2 linked regions of the Nothobranchius furzeri genome follow. The protein of the gene in region 1 interacts with the protein of each later gene in a biochemical or structural test. Links are inferred from orthologs where the notes say so. Each region holds a gene or a part of one and is shown in the gene's direction. Other genes may lie near its edges.

What was found. The genes of interacting proteins can lie anywhere in the genome.
Region 2: the proteins of ocrl (region 1) and rab31 form a complex in vitro, tested with the Homo sapiens proteins (2 studies listed by BioGRID and IntAct, with this or other methods). The link is inferred for Nothobranchius furzeri from reciprocal best matches to the Homo sapiens genes OCRL and RAB31.

The regions. Positions count from the first base shown.
Region 1 is NC_091741.1:85,246,909-85,253,024, forward strand, and holds the start of ocrl (inositol polyphosphate 5-phosphatase OCRL), read left to right. Parts: upstream 1-2,558; 5' UTR 2,559-2,735; coding exon 2,736-2,776; intron 2,777-3,609; coding exon 3,610-3,690; intron 3,691-5,509; coding exon 5,510-5,601; intron 5,602-5,943; coding exon 5,944-5,982; intron 5,983-6,116. Other genes in the region: si:ch73-335m24.2 (protein eva-1 homolog C), read left to right, coding at 1-123, 207-278, 355-435, 1,335-1,738. UniProt on the Homo sapiens protein: Catalyzes the hydrolysis of the 5-position phosphate of phosphatidylinositol 4,5-bisphosphate (PtdIns(4,5)P2) and phosphatidylinositol-3,4,5-bisphosphate (PtdIns(3,4,5)P3), with the greatest catalytic activity towards PtdIns(4,5)P2.
Region 2 is NC_091751.1:42,854,820-42,860,468, forward strand, and holds the end of rab31 (ras-related protein Rab-31), read left to right. Parts: intron 1-2,078; coding exon 2,079-2,150; intron 2,151-2,444; coding exon 2,445-2,551; intron 2,552-2,694; coding exon 2,695-2,804; intron 2,805-3,335; coding exon 3,336-3,433; 3' UTR 3,434-4,173; downstream 4,174-5,649. UniProt on the Homo sapiens protein: The small GTPases Rab are key regulators of intracellular membrane trafficking, from the formation of transport vesicles to their fusion with membranes.

The DNA.
Region 1 (6,116 bases):
TGAGGAGGGTGTCACGCAGGTGTCACGGCAGAGCTAACTGCTCAGTTCTAGCTGACACCCAAACCTTTGGGGACCCTTGCTTTCCCGGTACCAGGAAACACCTGCGAGTGTCCTTTACTTGTGGTAAATAACAGAATACATGTGTTTGTTTTCAGCTGAAGCAATGTGGCTTTCTGTTGATTTAAAAATCTTTCATTTCCTCTCAGTTCCCAGGTTTCTTCTAGAAGATGTGGGCCGAGGCTCAACAGATCCTTTCATGATCTCAGACTACACACACGGTGAGACTGACACTGACTTTGACAGGTTTAGTTGCGCTGGACAGGCTGACTGAGCCCAGACCCCTCTCTCCTGCAGGAGGATGGTACACTGGCCCCACCTATAAGACTCAAAATGTGTTTGTAACCAACTCTCTGGAGATCTTTGAAAAAATGTGGGGTATGTGCAGTAGTGCCTGCAGATCAGGCTGGATACATAGGAACACATGTTACTCTTGCATTTCAAGGAAACCCTTTGTGAACTGTTGATTCCATTTTTGTACACTCTGAAAATTAATAAATAAAAATAAATTCCACAGTGAAATATTTAGTGGACAATTGGTTTAGGACAATACTAAAAAGTCTATGGATGCATATTATGCAAAACTCAGTTTTTGCATCCTTTTGTGGGTATCTACTGCCTCTATAGGCCCCTAAATGCATGACATCAACTGTTCAAGACCCCCCCCCCCCCCCCCCCCCATCTAATGACTTGTATGCCTTTGTAACCTGGTAAATTGGTTTATTTTGACATAATTACACAAAATGTGTTCTGAAATTGGAGCGGGCAGCCTTTAATGTAATTTGTTTTGTGTTAACTGAGCTGTCGATTCCTGTTTGTCGGCGACAGAGTAAGACCATCAGCATGTGATTCCCCCCACCTCACAATGGGTGGTGGTGGTAAATAATATTAAAATAAATAGGTAAATAATTAAGTAAACAATAAAAAATAGGTTTGTACATAATGGAAGTGCACATTTTGCGGACTGCAGTTCCTCGAATGGCCACATGGTGTGCTCTGCAGCATTCTCTGTAAACTAACCAGTGCTGCTTGAAAGAGACAGAGCCCTGAGACTGCTCATTCTGGAAGGTACTGAAACTGGCAAGAACAAATTTGTTGAGATTGATTTATGGGATGGGGATTTAGAGCAAAGAACTTCATAAACACTTTGCGTAGACCATAGGACTATTATAACTTCAAAAACTGTCAAGACCCCTTTAAAGCATTTGCATATTGTACAGGATGAAGCAGTACAAATGTTGTTTGACCAATGATAACCACATTCGTCTCTCCTTCAGTTTTCCCGGAGCGAGTAGCTCTGTACTTCGTTTCTGGCATCTGTGCTGGACTGGTGTTCCTACTCTGCCTGTTTGGAATTCGCTCCACCATAGTGAGAGATGTTAAGGATCTGGTTTCTGACCTGAATGATCAGATAAAAGCATCACGCAGAAAGAGGAAGGAGCTCATAGACAACCTCTTCGATGAAGAAGTCTCAGACACCTCCTCCTTCTGTCGCCTCACACAGTCTTACCGTACAACAGATGTTCTCAGCCCGTCAGCTCTAACAATGGAGATGGTTGATGTGCAGCAGACGAGGGATTTGCCCATTGGAGACATCTGGCCACACCTGGACTCTAGTCCTTATGCAATTCACAAAATAAAAACCTATAACAGTTGTGTGAAGCCATATCCGGTGATTTAAAAGAGCAGAATACACACAGAGAGATATTTGATTGAATGTCACCTAACTTACACCTCTCTGAATTAACTATGTTCATAATGTAAAACACACAATAACAAGGAGTCATTGTGCTCTATTCAAACTACTATTTGTTCAGATTTGATTTGAACAAGTATGGTTTTATCCACAATGACATTTATCTTCTCTGATTTAGACTTTCTTTGTGTAAAGGAATGGACAAGGCTCAGATGAACTCTATCCATTTGATTGACTTTTCTTTAAAATATTCTGTTTCATAACTGTTCATTCTGGTGTTAGTCTCAAACAACTCCACAATAATAAAACGTTTCCAAGGAAACTGACTGAAAAGTTTTTTTAATACTCTCAACTGAATCTGTTTAATATGCAAGAAAAAAATCAAATATTGTTTTTTAAATATTTGTGTCTGTCTTGGACAACGTAATTTAGATTTTTAAGCAGAAAATATAAATAATTTGCTATTAGTTTGAAGCATTTGTTTTTGCGGCATGAAGTCGCCGGGTGTCTGTTCATCCTCCAGAACACTGGGGAGCGCTAAGTACCTTCATGCGAAGGAGTGCACTAAAATTGAAGTCTGATGAAGGCGAAGAACGACTAGTCTGGGTAGCTAGCTAGGGAGCAAACCCTGGGAGTCTTCGAAGTGTAGCATATCTGTGTGCTACAAACCACCCGATAACGTTATGTTGTCCGAGGGGTTTGTCTCTTGACACCGAGAGGGACACGAGAGAAACTGAACATTCTCATGTTTCTGACAGAATGATGGAAGTTATCAGGGGTTGTTTTAACTCCTAAATTCCATTAAACGTTTGTGAGACCTTCCAGCGGCAACAATAACAACAGCTGGCTAAAGGAGCGGTTAGCCAGCTTCCCGGAAGGAGGCCGCCACAGCGCCGGGTGGAGATTTAACTTTTTTTTTGCCTCAACATCTGCTCAACGTAAAGACCCTAAAAGTGATACGTATTTATTTATCTTGGTAAGAATGGAGTCCACGCTGGGGATTTGCAACGAAGAATGCTTGGCAATATCCTTAAAGTTGTGTTTGAATTGTATACGAGTTAGCGAATGAGTTATGAACAGCTAGCCATGTAAATACAGTTGATCAGAGGGCTAATTCACTAAACCGTTGTGAGATAGCTACTTAATGTTATTATTCGGGCTGATTTAAGAAAGAATTTTCTTTTCCACAAAAGCAGTGACACATCATTTATTGTGGCGACACATTTAGTTAATACTGGATAATTTCACCCAGTTTTATTTACCTTTCTTGTTATGTATTATGATTATGTAGCATCACATTCTATTTGCGATTATCCAGTGGTTGAAGTCACAGTAACAGCTAACACTAAGAACTGCTAAACACGGAGGATATGTGTAGCTTGTATTGCTAAAATTGCTTAGATACATATATTTTTGTTCTTTGCCGCTCCTCTACTGTACTGATGGGCTCGGTCAAACCCTGAATTCTTCCTTTCACGTCTGTGGATCTAGTGATCTAAGTCTCCGTTTTTTTGTGGATTGATCTGGCCCAGGTTTCTCCTTTTACCCTGGTTATGAAAAAGCCTCCAGGCTCAGGTTTCAAATGTTGTTTGTATAAAACAACCTGGTTTAATATTTGCCCCTGTTAGATTTTTGCTGCCACTGGCACTATTCTTTCTCTCTTATTTCACGTTGTTAATGCTTGTCATTAATTTCCTTCCTGATTTTCAGTTTGCATGGCTTCATTAACATCTTTCTTCAACTGAAGACAGACTTATTCATAATGATTTTCGAACACTGTTCCGGTAGTACTGGGTAACAGCTGTAGTTGTGATATCTCATCATCCATCTCAATGATTCCTTGATTGTGCTGCTCAAACTGTAAAAGCTCAGGAGCTGAGGTCTGGCCAGAAGGAGTCCAGGTTACTGTCACTAATTGAACACAATGGAGAGTTTAAGTAAGTATCAGAAATAACAATTACTGAAAGTATGTTGACATTGGGTTGTCCCAATGTCCCAAAGCTGTGTGTTTGTTGCTGAATCGCTTAATAACACAGTAAGGTGTTTTGTTTTATTATTGCTCCTGTTTAGTTTTGACTTCATTCAAATGAAACCCAAGTTGTTGAGAGCTGTCTTTGTCAGAGGAAGCTGCAGTTGACCTGAAGTGTGTGACCTGAGCAGAATTATATGGGTATACAGGAGCTGCTTCATCAGTTAACCTTTAACAAGTTACTTTCCTGTTCCATAATCAAAAATAGAGCTCTTAACATTCAATCGAGCTGTTATCTTGTGTTTTATGAAGTTCTTAAACACACTTTGCACTAGACTGCTGTCACACTGATGGAATCTTAAAATGTGCAAATGAAAATTCAAGTTATTTTGATGTTGACCGGGATAACCAACATCGGTCTGTGTTTTCTATCCTGAATGTCAGATTTATTTGTCTTTTTGAGTTATCTCAGGCTGGTGGCTATTTTAAATCCAGGATGTTTAACTGAATGAGCATGCCCCTTTACACACACACACACACACACACACATACACACACACACACACACACACACACACACACACACACACACCACTCTTGTCACTACACAGATTAGCTCTTAGGTGTAAAATAACTGGATGCCATGTGGGCAGAACGTGGTTTCTGTGAGCTGGACAGCTCCAGGGCTTATTTGGTGAAAGGAGACTTTGTGTGTAGACAGTAGGGAGATGTTTAATCATATGTGTAGCTTGGAGTTACTTTCACCAGCAGTAACCTCACTGCAGATTATCCAGAATTCCTTCACTTCATCTTTAGCTGTAATGAGACTCACATGGGCACGCAGGCTGCAGGCTGCAAGCCCACACAAGCCACCAAAGAGTAATGTCATGAAGAGGGAAAAAACCATTATGAATGTTTCAAAATAGACATGATTTATTTTAAATGATTGAAAGATTTTGCATGACATAAGGCATTACCTGAGGTTCATACCAGTGTTCTGTGCCTTCGGTGTGTTTTTCTGTGGTATTTGCTTTTATGCACTTCTGTACATTGGCTTGGGATACAATCAGTACCAGTTTGTGGTACACAAATTATGGGATTATTGACACAATAATCTGGATAAAACAGACAAAACTGGAGGGTTTGTCACGTCAGGCTCTAAAATGTACAAATGGAGAATAAAAAAAACCATTTTGTTTCCTGTTGAATATTCTGTTGCGTTTACATCGGAAGTTCTCATCCTGACAGATTCGGGAAACTGCTTCTGACACATTTTGCCCAGCAGTCCTGAATAATTGTCCTCTCCACTATAATCAGACCAAGTGAAGGGGAAGAGTGGGCAGTGAGTGCCCAGGAAGACTCTTTGTCCTCTGCTGTTAGTCAGATGTTAGTGAGCACAGGAATGTGACCCTGCCTACATAAACCTACATCATGCTTCTGAAGCCGTTTGTGTCAACAGTTTGATAATTTAACACTTTAATCTTCTTTATATGCTCAGTGGATTTGTATTGATTAACTGAATGATGCACAGTGCTTGCTAGTTATTGTTTTTGTTGTGTGCCACTAAAGAGAGGTTTTGCATGTGTGTTTTTTCAATTTCTATTGTTCATGATAATTAAAGCACATCTTGACTCCATCTTCTCTGTTCTAATGTTAAGCACCCTGCATGAACGTCAGTGCTAGCAGCAATGTTTTTTATATATGTGCTTTATGTTTAAGATGGAAAATCTTGATATTAAAATAAACAACAGTTGTGATAAGGCAGAATGCTTGCTGTTTCTACACAGACTGGGTGTTCTGGCCAACCCTGAAGCTGTTGTGTCCCGTCCGGTGGCTCAGTTGTCCATACCCATTAATGATAAATTTGAAATTGTACGAGGTATGTGGCTTTTCTCCATGTCGGAGTCAAAATACTTACAGCTTTTCCTGTGTATGTTGGGTGTAAATAAATGTTCAAAAAATGTTAGATGCTGACTCTAATTTAAACCAGAATAAGTAAAATAATCTGGGATTAGAAGTATAGTAGACATGCATAGCCTTACATTTTAAACCAGTGGACGTTACATTCTCGCTGTGTGTTAGAAGCTTCTGCTTTTCCTTTGCATATGAAAGTAAACACAGAACAGGTAGTGCTTCTTGAGATAATTTATAACACCAGTGGGCCACTCCCACTCCAGACCTTTGAACTGCACTATTTAAATTTTTATTCTGTTTCCCTCAGAGGCTGAAGAGGCCTTGCTCATTGACCTCTCCATAGATTGTGAGTACTTTTGTGTTAAAATCAAATATATGTAGTCATCATTGACTTTAATATGTGTTTTTTAGCACCGTTCCATATTTTATCTTCCAAAAGTCTTGCCAATCAAACAGCGCTGCCTTTTTCCAGCCGTATGG
Region 2 (5,649 bases), on another chromosome or scaffold:
TAGTGCTCTGTTGGGGATGGTTGGGGGGGTAGGGTGGATAAATGGGGAGTTACCTAAGACTTGCAAAATTTGCTTACTGCATGGAAAAACTAGTTCAAGCATTTCCTGGATGTGTGTGAAAACAATATCTGGAGACCTCTGTCTTTAGGTCTTACTGAGGTCTAAGACAGAAATGTTGAGTTTTAGTTTTAATAATGGTGTTGACTAGAGTTGTTATGGCGATGTAGTGTGAGATTTCACCCAAGAGCTTATGTTTGTTTTGCATACGTGGATGTCAATGAAGGGAAAAGATGATGGATGTTTGTGCAGAAACTGTTTTACTGGAACTCTTCCTCATATTAAAACAAATGGTAATAAACCCAAAACTTGTGCAGAAATAAAATGACTTGTGAAATTGGCTACAAACATCACATTTTCGCCCCGTCTGCAGCGTTTACTGCTAAGAGGAGGGGCACACACTGAACAAGTCACCAGTCCGTTACAGCGACACGGGACAATCAACTAGTCCTCTAGATACGGCTGGGCAATAAATCAAAAATGTATTCATCCACCCATCCATCTTCTGAACCCGCTTTGTCCACGCAGGGTCGCACGCGGGGGTGGGGGTGGGGGGGCTGGTGCCTATCTCCAGCAGTCAACGGGCAAGTAGGCGGGGTACACCCTGGACAGAGAGCCAGTCTATCGCAGGACAACACAGACACACAGAGACAAACAACCATGCACACACACTCGCACCTAAGTACAATTTAGACCAATTAACCTAACAGTCATTTTTTTGGACTGTGGGAGGAAGCCGGAGCACCTGGAGAGAACCCACGCATGCACAGGGAGAACATGCAAACTCCATGCGGAAAGATCCCAGGCCGGGAATCGAACCCAGGACATTCTTACTGCAAGGCAACAGCTCTAACCACTGCGTCACTGCGCAGCCTTCAAAAATGTATCATTATCGAAATTTCTGACTCTTATCGTGATAATTTTTCCCATGTCAATAAATTAGATGATAAGAAAAATGAAAAGATGTGTGTAGGTTTGCAGCATTCATGTACCTTTTAAGAAGCTGTACCACCTTTAGTCACGTAAAAATGTGACTCAACTTAATACATGTGACAGCGCCATCTAGTGGACAACTTTTATTTCTGCGCACACCTGTAGTTATCGTCCATTTATCGAGGTGAAATCCTTAATATATTGTGATACTGATTTTAGGCCACATCACCTAGCCTTACATCTAGAGACTATTTAGAGTGAACAGTTAACCTAACATGCAGGTTTTTGTTCTGTGAGAGGAGTGCTGTGATTGGCTGGTGCTGCCGAGGTTCCAGTGGAGTGTTGCTAGACCGTCATTCAAAGCAAAATTATTTTTGCTTTGAATGACGGTCTAGATTCTAGGCTAGGTGGTTTTAAAATAAGGAACTCATTTTAAGTTGACTGCCATATCACTTCACCTGAAGAGATGGTTTTATCCTTCAGGTAGCCCTTCCCTGCAACAACAATCCACCAATTGCTGAGATAAATACTCTCGTTACATACTTAGGTATTGTGCATGTGCAAAAATATTTGCACAAACCTCTGAACACTAGGCCTCATGGTGGCACGGTAGGTAGCTCTGTTGCCTCACAGCGAGAAGGGCACAGGTGCAAACATCAGCTGCTGCCTTTCTGCGTGGAGTTCTCCTGTGTGGGACTTTGTCCAGGTGTGTGAATGGCTGCGTGTCTTTACGTGTCCCTGTGATGGACTGGGGACCTGTCCAGGGTGTCCGCCTCTCAGGTTGCTGGAATTAGAGACCAGCTTCCTGCAACCCTACTGGGGAGAAGAGCTTGTATTAAAATTTTACTCTGCGTTTTGCATATTTTCACCTGTATTTGCTTCCCTCAGTCATCCTAAGTTATTGTTTTTGTTTAGTCTACTTTGATGTTTGTTTGGTCTTCATTCTAATCGTTTATCTTATTTTTTATGCCCTGGCTTGGCTTGAGTTGCAGAAATCAGAATATGATATTGTCTCAATTGACAACAAGTCTTCAATATATGATAAATGTGTTTTTACTAACTACCGTAAATTATTGTTCCTGTTTTAGTTTCACTCATTAGCTCCTATGTACTACAGAGGATCAGCTGCTGCTGTCATCGTCTATGACATAACCAAACTGGTGAGTTTAACATCTCTTAATTAAATTATGCTAATTAGCGGTTGTATGATCAGGCGTCTGCATCCTCGAAACCAGATGAACAAGTGAATAAATGGTTTGGAGCTGAAGCTGAAGGTCGTTTTCCTCCACTCTGAGATGCTGTGTGCATCCATGACCTACAAATGTCATTCTTTCCTACTCGGCTAATGGAAACTTGTTTAAAAACACCAGTGCTGTGTGATGAGTTAATAAAAATGCTGGGCATGTTCTCAAAAGAAATGCCAGAGCCGACCACGCTGTGTTCCTGTCATTCAGGACTCTTTCCAGACACTGAAGAAGTGGGTTAAGGAGCTGAAGGAGCACGGCCCAGAGGACATCGTTGTAGCTATCGCAGGGAACAAGAATGATTTAGGAGACATCAGGTGGGAGGAGCTGTTTAGTTCTACCTGTCTGGAGATCATTTGTGTCACCTGTAGCTTTTAACAGTCCACTCTTGAGTCAGTTGGATTCATGCAGGTTGGAACATTTTCTTCACATGCCGCTTGGCTCTTCTTCTGTTTTACAGGGAAGTTCCTATGAAGGAAGCAAAGGAGTTTGCAGAATCAATCGCAGCTATTTTTATTGAGACCAGCGCCAGAAATGCCGTCAACGTCGAGGAGCTGTTCCAGAGAATCAGTAGGGTTTTTCATGCTGTTGCTGCTTTCTCTCCTCGGTTTATGGAAGTATATTCCAGGTGTCCTCAAACAAAAGCTCATCTCATCACTCAACGCAGACGATCATTTATAAGCATTACATTCATCCAGTTATTTATAGACTTTCTGTTTTTCTTGATGACTTGGGTGTGTTTCCTGATTTCCGGGCATATCGTTCTCAGATTTTTGAATTTCAGACTCTAATCTGCTCGCATGTTTTCCTTTTAAAAAGAATCTTCTCATTTTGTTTTGTTTTCACACCAAATTACTGACTGGAAACAAGTTAAACTGATTATTGCAACATCTGAAGTCCACTGCCAGTCTAGGAAGCTGTTTTTTCCAGACTGTTGTTTTTACATCCTTTGGTTGCTTGTAGATCTCATAAGATTTCAGCTGAGTTTTGAGGTATAGAAACTAAATTGCACAGGAAAAGCAGCAGTGCATATGTTAGCAAGTTTTATATTATGTCATTAAAAAAAACACTCAAATTAAACAATTTGTTCTGCAATTTTAGGTAAACAGATTCCGCCTCTGGAAAATCCTGATGTGGAAAGCAATGATTCCTTTAAAATCACCCGGCAGCCTGCCTCCACGGCCAGGAGGTGCTGTTAGTACCAGAAGTTATGGATAGTCAACTTACATCATCACGCAGGCGGAGCACATAGTCCACGATGCACACAGAGTCTTCAGAGTGACAACACGTGGATGGTCTGAGGTCAAAAACAGGATGAAACAACCTCTGCTCCAGCGCCATGGAGGTCAAAGCAACAGTTCCTGCAAGCACGTTTCCCTGTGACTTAAAACCTTCAGTCTGTCTCCCTCCAGTGGCGCTCTGACTGAATTACATGCAGTTGTCCATCTGAGAACATCTCCAAAATATAAAACATGCAGCTTTGTTCCATTTGTGAAACAAAGGGCAAATTATTAGCGTGAACACTGCATTTTTAGTGGTTTGGATTAATAAATCAGGTTTGGAGGTTTGTGCAATTCCATTTAGGCCTCTGGAGTCACCAGCTATTCAGAGATGAGCTCTGTCATTTAAAGTCATAGTTCAGTACTAATATTCAACATTTCCACGATCCTTGGATCGTCGGCGCAGAATGTTTTAAAGTAAGATGTAAAAACCTTAGGTGTGCGTTTCACGTGCACTCGTTTATTTCCGTTGTTTAGCTGCGGAACAAACTGTTAAAACGCTGAAATCTTAATCACATCATGACATCTAACTGCTGCAACGGCGTGACCAGTGTTAGTTGTTTACATAATGGTTTGATAAACATGTTTTCTGTTTGTTTGAGAATTGGCTACAGCAAACAGCAGCTAAACTTGGAGTTTGCTTGTATTTACTGTTTAAAGAGCAGACAGTAATTTACAGCAAATAAGTCCAGTTCGATGAGATAGTTTTTGTACTACCTGAACTCTGTGTTAATAGGACCCTAAACTTTGGATCATGTATACAAACAAAAAATATGTACTTTAAAAAAAATGTTAAACACTTTTTTTCTATCTGAATGTGCTGCAAAGTCAAACAACTTATTTTTTTTATCAATTTGTGGGATGTAATAATGAAATCTCTTATTTATAGTAAAATACTTTATAAACGCCCATCTATGCTGATGTTAGTGTGGACAGTTTACACCAAAATCCATTCATTAATTAGCCAAACTGTGTTTCTTCACTTGGAAAACGTTCAACACAAACCTCTGGAAGCGAGATTGGCAGTGACCTTTCGCTCGTGGTTTTCTAGACTCATCAGATTTTATTCTGAGTAAATGTCAGACTTGTGACTACGGTGTTTCCCCGATGTCTAACAGTTATTCCCCTAAAGCGATACGTGAAAGTCACCTAAAAGCTGAATGTTACACTTATGGACATGCTCCTTTGTTAAAATGCTGTTTAGATTCACACATGTGTCTTTTTTATTGTTTCTTAAAAATGTATGACATGGCTAAAAGTGAATATCAGCTTTTGGTGCAGTCTGACGGTACCCATATCTTTAAAAGTGCCTATAGTTTCCATTTAACCTCATTTGTATGCAAGTATTTGTTCTCATGTATTCTGTGTAGAAGTCACTGACATTGTAATAAAATTATAATCGTACTCTTTCTTCTAGTTTTCATCATGCCTTTATTTTTGAAGGACATAAATTAGAGGCATGTCTAAAAAGATTACAATCCTATCTAATTGATAAAGCAATATGCCAAAGATAAAATGACGGTGCATCAGCAGCCAGTACAAATTTTATTAATGAAATAAAACCCCTTTTCTAACTATCACGTAGATCTTTAAAACTACGATAATCAGGTGACATAACAAATTAATGGAAATTTCAACTCATTTGGATTAAATTGTAGCCAAATTCAAATATATCAGCAATATTAAAGCGTCGAGGAAATCATAGTTTATCATTTTGAATTGAAAAATGCATATTTTTATTTTAAGAAGTCCTAGAGTGATTTATTTTGAAATAAAATCTAGTGATGCCCAAACCAGAAACTAAAATAGCCAAGATAATAGTAAAAATCTAGGATATTTTTAGTAATTACTTTTACAAAAAATATTTTGACCTGCTCAACAACACAATAAACATGTAATATTAAAGCTTTAATTAAAAAAAGTTGCATTTATGAGACATTAACGCTAAAAGCTTTATTGTTATATGTGCAGTAAGCAGCTGAACGATGAAATTCCTACTTTGCTGCCCCCGCTGGATGCTGAGAGTATAACTGAGGTCTAAAATAAACAAGATAGATGCTAAATACAATAAAACAAACATTTTTATTGTGTTGAAATGACAGCCCACCTACTGTATGTTTGTGCAAGTGGAATAA